Linked DNA regions of Daphnia pulex. The protein of the gene in region 2 binds, or shares a complex with, the protein of the main gene of each other region. Links are inferred from orthologs where the notes say so. Each region holds a gene or a part of one and is shown on either strand. Other genes may lie near its edges.

Region 1 (4,390 bases), on a different chromosome or scaffold from region 2:
TGTTATCGGACCGGGATGGAAAAAAAAGAAGAAGAAGAGCGCTGGATCGTATCGAAGAAGAATATGTCTCGTCTGTCTGACTGTCTTGTCTTGTCTGTGTGTGTGCGTGGATTCGGCCGAGCGGTCGGCCAATTACGAGCCCAGTGGGGCGTCGCATCCCTCCCCAAACAACAACAACAACAACATCCACCGACGGTACACAAGAAGAAGAAGAAGAAGAAGAAAAAGCTACGGGGGAGAGAGTCCGTTCTTCCATTTGTAGAGAAAAAAAAAAACAAAATTTCCTTTGGGGTTTTCATGACACTCTCTTTGGCCAAAGAGAAACAAAATAAGAAAAAAGATAGAGAAATAGGTAGGTATACAAGTTCTTTTAACGTACCCGTTAATGGATGTTTGGCTGACGAAAGGAGCGAGAAGCGTGCGGGCCACCAGGTGGAAAAGTTGAGTGAAGACGGCGTCCGAGCGCTCCTGGCAACGCTCCAAAAACACCTGCGTCTCGGCGTCGGCCCAGTCCAGCTGGAGGAACAACTCGGCGGCCTCCGGCTCCAACGCTTCCACGTTCACCTTATACCACTGCGAAAAAAAAAACAAAAAACAAAAAAAATAAAAATAAAAACAAGAAACAAAACAACAGTACGTCATTTATCTAATTCTTCTTTTCTCTCTTCGCCTTTTTCCATTCATTCCGGGGCAAAGGAAATCGAGTGAGGGCGATCACGGCCGACGGCGTCATAGTCGGAACAATCAAACTCTATATTATCAGTTCTTATTACGTGTCTGTGCGTGTGTGTGTGTGTGTGTTTTCCTCGTAATAGCCGATAACAAATCAGCGGCTTGATGGCTAGCGCCACCCGCACCATCGGCGGTCATCCGGCCAACTAACATTAAGGCCAATAACCTGCCGAAATAATATAACATGATGAAATAATGAAAAGAAGAAGAAAGAAGAAACCTAAACACACGCACACACACTGTGACACTGCAACGTTTTTGTGTTCGATTGTCAGTCCGCCCCGGCATTATGTAACACGTATGGAATTTTCTATTAGGCTGGCACCGAGGTGTCAATCTATTTGACAGCTAGACGCCCTCCTCCTTTTTCTTGTCCACTGACATTTGCACCGAGTTCAAAAAAAGATGTTGGAATTGAATCACACCAAAAGAGCGAGCCCTGTGAACAAGCCATGTGTCGCCCATTCACCGAGGAAATGTCAAAAACGTCAAAGAGTCCAAAATACTACTTTTTTTTTGTTCCACCCACTCTCGATTGGAGATTGTTTCACGGTAGTCTGCCAAGTCCCGTGAAACTGGGGAGGGAAAATATTATTAAGGTGAGTGATTGAAAAGAAGAGAAGAGGACGAAAACAATGCGTCTAAAAAATGAAATAACATCGTGAGAGGTTTCTAATGGTAAATAAAAGAAGAAAAAATAAACTGTTGCTTCGGTGTTTCGCTATTGTCGGGAGGCCGGAGATGGGGGGGAAGCCTGCGGACAACAGCAACAACGTTGCTCTGATTAAGAGAACAAACGCTACCTAATTACTGCCATTAAAGCCGGCAAGTTCGGGAGTGCCGGGCGACTGTGCACTCAAACAGGAAAGAAGAAGAAGAAGAACAAGTAAATGAAATGAAAAAAGAATAAGAACGTCGTCGCAAGGAGAAAGAAAGGAGGGAATAAGTAACGAGAAAGAAGGGAACAAACAATAAGTCTTGTGTGTGTGTGTGTGCCAGTGAAGAGAGAGAGAGAAGAACAAGTCTTTTCTTTCACGCCAAAGTGAAGCTAATTTACCATTCACGGCAGAATAAATTGAATGCGATGGGAACGAAAAGGGAGAAGAAAAAATAGACGAGATGGCCAAGGACGGAAAAAGAAACAAGGTCCCAGCTTCTTCTTCTTAACTTCCAATTTGAAACCTATAATTCCCTTGAATCCACCCTTTCCTTCGGTACCCGCACGACGGAAGTGTCTCTACAACGAACAAAAGGGGGAGGAGGGATTGAGCTTAGGGTGAGAGAGAAATTGTACGATTTTTAATTGGACTCGAGAGAAGAAATTCGGGAAGGAAAGACGAAGAAAAAAGGAAAAATAGCTTCGATAATAATGAGTTTGTAATTGCTAGGTTGGAAACATGATTAAAGCCGACCGCAAAACTACCCAGTGGGAAGAAGGTGGTGGTGGTGGAACGTCGACGTCGTGAGGTGGGGCGGCAGGGGCGGTGAAAGAAGCACTACGAAGGACGACGACTAAGACTAAGAGGAGTCGCCCTCATTTTCCCGATGTGGTTAACATCCCCGAGAGACCGCCATTCACGGCCATTGTGTTTGCCTAGGCTGTAAGACTAATTTATGATTCATTACTGATACCGCCCCATCACTAGACACAGCAACCAAGTGTTTCTCATCAATGTGAGGGCTGTGAATGACTCGTCACCTTGCAGATGTGGGAGTTACCTGAATGACGATGGGCTGGGATATAAGTGTGTGTGTGTGGGATTTACCTTGGTCCTGTCGAATTTCTTGAACTCTTCGTCCACCAGGATCTTGGAATAGACAGAACGGGTTAGAGCTGACCTGAAGTAAGGCCTGGATGTGGGTGTTGTTGCCGGAAGACACTCTTGGCAGCCAGCAGTATCACAGGAATCAACTGTTCTGGAATGGATCGAAACACTATCCATCCTGCCCGCTGAGCCAGGCATTGTGGCTGTTGCACTGAGGCACAGAAGCAGGCAGCAAAGAAACTGCGTGGTGGGCTTCAGTCGATAATTAACGAGTTCACATGCGTGCCACAACAAGCAGGGCATGGGAAACTTTCTCATCAAAACGGACGATCTAATTGATGCTTGATGTGGAAATATTAAGATGCCGTGCGACTACTTTTTCCGCTTGATTATAGTGTGACTTTCAATGCAACGAGAGTGGGCTGAGCCTAGACAGCATAAATAACAACAGCATATGCTTTTTAACGAAAGCATTCAAAAAATCTCGAGCTCTTGTCGTTCTTTTTCATAAAAATGTGGGCTGCAGCAGACGACGTCAACGTGATCGATGAAAAAGGTGAGGGCTAAACAGCAACTTGGCGGGCGGGCTCGATCGTGATTTATTCTCTGCACTCTGCAGAGAAAAGAAACGAAAATGCTTGCAACGAAATTGCGATGCATCAATTGAACCTCGCGATTTTTTCTCCTGCCATTTTCATTCATAAAAGAAAATGACATTTAATGCACGCGGGAATGATGCGAAACAACTGCCGGCAACAAAATCAGACACGACTCGCCAGCAGACACGCGAAACTAAAGAGACATTCTCCGAATAGTCTTGTGATCCCAAGCGGATCTTCAATATGTTTAACGTCCTGTTGTACCACAAACAAAATGCTGAACCATAAATAACCTCGAGTATAGTATAGTGAGGAGGATACAACACCGTACGATGAGAACAAAAACAAAGTAGACTGTCTACTGCCATTTTTGAATTCCGGTGCATACATAATACATGTGGCCAACGAAAAACGGGGGGGGAAAGATTTTTTTTTTCTCTTCCATGCACATCCGACGTATGCATAGTATATATGTATTACGCACACAAAAATATAAGCCCCTATAAGGTCTAACATTTCCTTCATATATATACCTGTGACCACAAAATCTATTGTGCATCGTTATGACAAGAAGAGGGGAAAGATTTCTTAGCCTTTTTATTATTATTATTATTTTCTACTGTATGTGAGAGTGTAGCAACCCCCATCAGGATTTTGGTGAATGATGGGAGGGTAAGTTTTCTTTTTTTTTTTCTTCTAGAAAAATAGAAATCGGTCGTTTTTGTGAAGCTGCCCCGTTGCATCCCAGTGTCGTTTGTCACACCCTGGGCCACAGTGGAACATGAGAATAAAAACTTTTGGGGGCTAACAAAAAAGAAAAAAAAATGAAACAACTACAAAAATAAGAAGCTGTTGGAATTGGTAGATGGCACGTCCCTAAGCACACAGTCACATCTATACCTGCCAGCTACCCAACGTATTATGGGTCAAAGGTTTCCTGAACTGTGTCTAGCTTGGAGAACCCCCCACATTGGTATTATTCGTTATTTTCTTCCCCCCCCCCCGATCCTCTATACTACACTGGAAGAAAGAAAGAAAGAAAAAGAATAAAGGTGCAGTCGTGCAAGAAGACGGACGGACGATGAAGGAGCTAATGAACGCGACTCTCCATCCATCCGACCGTCTCTCTCTCCCCCCAATGGGTGGAATGCTGTTGGAAAAAGACAGACACACACACACACAGCACACACACAGAAAGACATTGTGAACGGGTTGCTGTTGGAATGAAGAATGGGTCAGGAGAGAAATGATAATAATAATAAAAAAGAAGAGAAAAGTAAAGAAAAGGCAACT
Region 2 (3,976 bases):
CACCGACTGCTGGCTCGTTTGTTTCGATTGTCGGGCTGACTCGTTGCCATGGTTACGTCTAATATATGCCGCCGCCCCTATGACTACGTAGCGAAATAAATGGGGGCATTATTCAATTTTTCTGCATTTTAGCGATTGTATCTTTCTATTCAGTAATGAAATGAATGAGTTAACTTGTATGATGAATAAGTCATCAAAATAATAAAGAGAATAAGTGAAAGTCAAAATTTTGTAGACTCGTCTCGGCGCCCAGTCAAAGGGAATTGCTCAATCTGGTATCAGTTACCGCACAAACTACACACAATAGCCAACATTGTTCTATTTCCTATATGGTTTTTATTTACAGTTGTCGCCTTTCACTGATAACGCAATTTCAATGAATAAACCACCTTTGATTGAATAGTAACCAAGTAGACTTATAGGCTCATCTTACCCTCCCAGCGTTGTTTGCTCAGTTAAAGTTCAATAAAAAGCTAAATTTTAAAAATTAAAAATAAGAAAAAATATAATAGAATCGTGAAATTTATTTTATACCTTTATTAAGTATCTTGCTCGGGTGACAAAACAATTACAAGGCATAATGCAGGCTAGACAATGGGTTCGAAGTGGTAGAAATGAAAGTTAAAATCCATCGTCTAGCCCTGCCAGATGGGATTTAGATAGAAACAATTTGTATCTCAATTTTTCATTCATATTCGGCTATCAAAACCATCATATAGACACCAGCTAACAAGGCAGCGATTTCCATTAAAGTTTGTGAGAATTTGCTGTTTTCTAAAAGCTCAGGAATGACAGAAACGGTGGCAATGTAAATGAATCCACCGGCTGTGAACGGAAGGATCCAGGCAGTAGCAGCAGCACCGATTCCTTCTGCTAATAAAGAAACTGCACATCCAGTAAGAGCTCCCACTGCTGTAATAAGCTGCAAAAAGATAGCCTGTCCAATAGAAAGTGGAGAATTAAGATTCCTGTTACTTTGAGATTGTCGGAGCGTTTGAAATTACTTTTTTGCGATCACAGCCTGACTGAATGAGAATGGCGAAATCCCCGATCTCGTGGGGAACTTCGTGCAACAAAACTGTGACTGTTGTTACGATTCCTGTACTTCTTCCAGCCAAAAATGACGCACCAATAGCCAAGCCATCAGTGAAGTTGTGGGTAAAATCCGCAGCCAGGTTCAAATATCCAGCTACCTTGATGTCTCCTAAAGAAATGGAATAATACAACAGATTTAATGACATACTACCAAAAAATAAACTAAATATTTACCAGAGGGTTTGGCAACCTCCTTGGTTTTCTTTTCCTTCTTTTCTTTGGCTTTTCCGTCTTTCGCATCTTTTGCATCAGTTGTTTTATCCTTCTTGGGTTCAGCATGACTGTGGCTGTGACCTTGGCCACCTTTAAGAATTCTAACAAACTTTTCAACAGCAAGGAAGGCAATAATGCCGCAGAGAACCCAAAGTCCAACAGTCATGTCGTGCCCATGAGAATGACCCTCTCCATGAGAATGTCCATGAGAATGCGAATGAGGTTCCTCATCTTCAGAATGAGCCATCAATGCATGCGGAATCAAATGTAGGAAAGCATCACCAAGAAGTCCACCGGAAGCAAAGCTAAGTAAAACTTTTAACAAGGGCTGTCGTTCAGGGCTGCTGTCAATGGGAATGAAAAAAAGCACAATGAACGGTGCTACACTAATGATTAGAGTGGAACCAATGGCTTCTGTCCATAAGGCAGCAGTTGTCCTTTTGGGAGCTTCAACATTTTCTGTGTGATGGTCATGATGATGATCATGTAAGTGTTCATCATGATCATGTGAGTGTCCGTGATGTTCGTGCGAATGCCCATGGTGATGTTCCTTTTCTATTTTCTTGGCTGGGGGTGGAGGAGGTTTCGGAATATTCGCTTCCTTGGAATACTTAAATGAAGGCCGCTCTTCTACATGATCGTGCGAGTGTCCATGATGATCATGTGAATGTCCGTGATGGTCGTGAGAGTGAGAATGGCAAAACTGTGGAAGTGTCAAAAAAATTCCTACCAAGAGCAGAAAACTGCAGAGTTTTACGACGAACCTTCGGTCAAGCATTTTGACAGACCGAATGAAAGCGCTTCAAGTCTGACGTGTTAAACAGCTGGTAATACTCGGGCTCAGAGTCAGACTCTCTGACGCGGTGACAGACCTTCACAACAAAAAACATGATTTAAAATATTACCCTTACCTATTCTTTAAAAAAATATAATAATTAAATAATTTGTTTTTCTTAGTTGTTTACAATTTGTTTGATAATTGCCAATTTGTTAGTACACGCAAAAAAGCTTAGAGATCACCTAGACAGGCGTCAAAATTTACATCACCGACGCCACCTAGCACCTACATCCAAGTCTTCATTGATCTCACACTAGATGACGTCTTTGTAATTTCATCTGAATATTTTTATTTGGCAACATCAACATCAGTAAATGTAAAAATGGCGTATTTAAAAAACTTTTCAGTTTTCATGTTTTCAGTCTCAGCAGCATTGTCTCAGTCGTTGGTTTAACTGTTCCCATGTGTTTGTCACTTCCGTGATTCAAGAGAATTGGACAAAACATCAACTATCAAAATGACAACTGAAGCAAATCCCACCCTGTTGAAGGACATCAATCATAATTGCAGAGGATATGAGGTAATAAGCTTTAGATAGTCAAATGTCATTTATTAAATTAAACAAATTGTTCATCTTTCATGTATGAGATGAATGTTAATTTGCAGGAAGTCAAGAAGGAAGATCACATGCTGTATAATAGATACAACCAATACATCCTTGAAGTCTACGATGAGGACCTCAGCCCTCTTGAAGTACTAAAATGCATGGCTGCAGCGAAGAGCATTGAGGACATAGTTAATGGTATAGTTTTTTTTCTATGTAACATATATTCTCATATGAATCTTTATACTGTAGGTATCAACAGTGGTGATGTAAACAAGGAGATTACAGCAACCAATGCTATACGTAAATTCCTATCTGAGGAACACAATCCAGCACTCATTCGTATCCTCATCAATGCTAATGTTGTTCCCAAGCTAGTAGAATTCCTTAGTCGTGTCAAAAAGTATGTTGTGTCTTTAAATTGGTCTTATTCAAACATTTCTTCATGACATTTTTGTTTTAGCGCTGAACTTCAGTTAGAGTCAGCCAGGACTCTCACCACCATTGTGCTATGCAGATCTTTTCAGGTCCAAGCTGTGGTCAGTGCTGGGGCTATTGCTGGTTTCATGTCAATGTTGAGTTCACCTCATCCAGTTACGGCCGAGCAAGCTGTCCGGGCGCTCGGCATTATTGCGAAAGACGGACCAAAGTTAAGAGATTACTTAATCGAGCAAGGATTTATAAAGGCGATGCTCAGTTTGGTCAAATCTAACTCTTCAGTAAGTTTATTTTTGAAACCTTGGTGAACATTTATTATTAACCGATTTCAATATTAGGCTACATTATTGCGTAGCGTCACTTCGACTTTGTCCAACTTGTGTCGCTATTTGGGTGGGAGTGTCCTTGCCGTCCGACAGCTTCTTCCTGCCCTGTACCACCTAATCCACGCAAATGACGAGGAGATTCTCGCCACCGCTTGCATGGCTCTCTCTCATCTCACTGATGGCCCGAAAGAAATAAAGAAAGAAGTTATCAACGCCGGAGTCGTCCCTCGGCTCGTTGAGCTATTCTATCACAAAGAAGAGACCGTAATTTACCCCACGCTGATGGTAATCGGCTACATTGCTTATTCAGGCGAAGACATATCTGATGAGATCGAAGCTTTTGTCAGCGCTGGGGCTGTTGCTGGGATGATTCATTTGTTAGATTCACCTCATCCAGTTGTAGTGGAACATGCTGCCTGGGTTCTGGGTAACTTTGCCAATCAGGGAGCAGAGATAAGAGATTTTTTAATTGAGGAAGGCATTATTAAGCCATTGGTATCCTTGATTAATAAACCCGACACT

What was found.
Region 1: the proteins of protein catecholamines up-like (region 2) and protein-L-histidine N-pros-methyltransferase-like are in contact, whole or in part, in a crystal structure (PDB 8GZE), measured with the Homo sapiens proteins. The link is inferred for Daphnia pulex from reciprocal best matches to the Homo sapiens genes SLC39A7 and METTL9. Residues at the interface, in NP_001070984.1 of Homo sapiens: Gly65, His66, Thr67, His68, Glu69; in NP_057109.3 of Homo sapiens: Arg114, Thr115, Asn118, Arg123, Gly124, Met126, Met179, Asn210, Asp213, Arg214, Val241, His245, Tyr247, Glu249, Trp255, Tyr295, Leu296, Cys297, Glu298, Asp300, Tyr306, Val307, Leu308.

What each region holds. Positions count from the first base shown.
Region 1 is NC_060019.1:9,214,675-9,219,064, forward strand, and holds the start of protein-L-histidine N-pros-methyltransferase-like, read right to left. Parts: upstream 3,057-4,390; 5' UTR 2,817-3,056; coding exon 2,499-2,816; intron 574-2,498; coding exon 380-573; intron 1-379. UniProt on the Homo sapiens protein: Protein-histidine N-methyltransferase that specifically catalyzes 1-methylhistidine (pros-methylhistidine) methylation of target proteins.
Region 2 is NC_060017.1:7,407,791-7,411,766, forward strand, and holds protein catecholamines up-like, read right to left. Parts: upstream 2,362-3,976; 5' UTR 2,274-2,361; intron 2,181-2,273; 5' UTR 2,087-2,180; coding exon 1,270-2,086; intron 1,205-1,269; coding exon 1,005-1,204; intron 938-1,004; coding exon 686-937; 3' UTR 507-685; downstream 1-506. Other genes in the region: importin subunit alpha-1-like, read left to right, coding at 2,604-2,666, 2,735-2,888, 2,943-3,093, 3,154-3,409, 3,467-3,976. UniProt on the Homo sapiens protein: Transports Zn(2+) from the endoplasmic reticulum (ER)/Golgi apparatus to the cytosol, playing an essential role in the regulation of cytosolic zinc levels.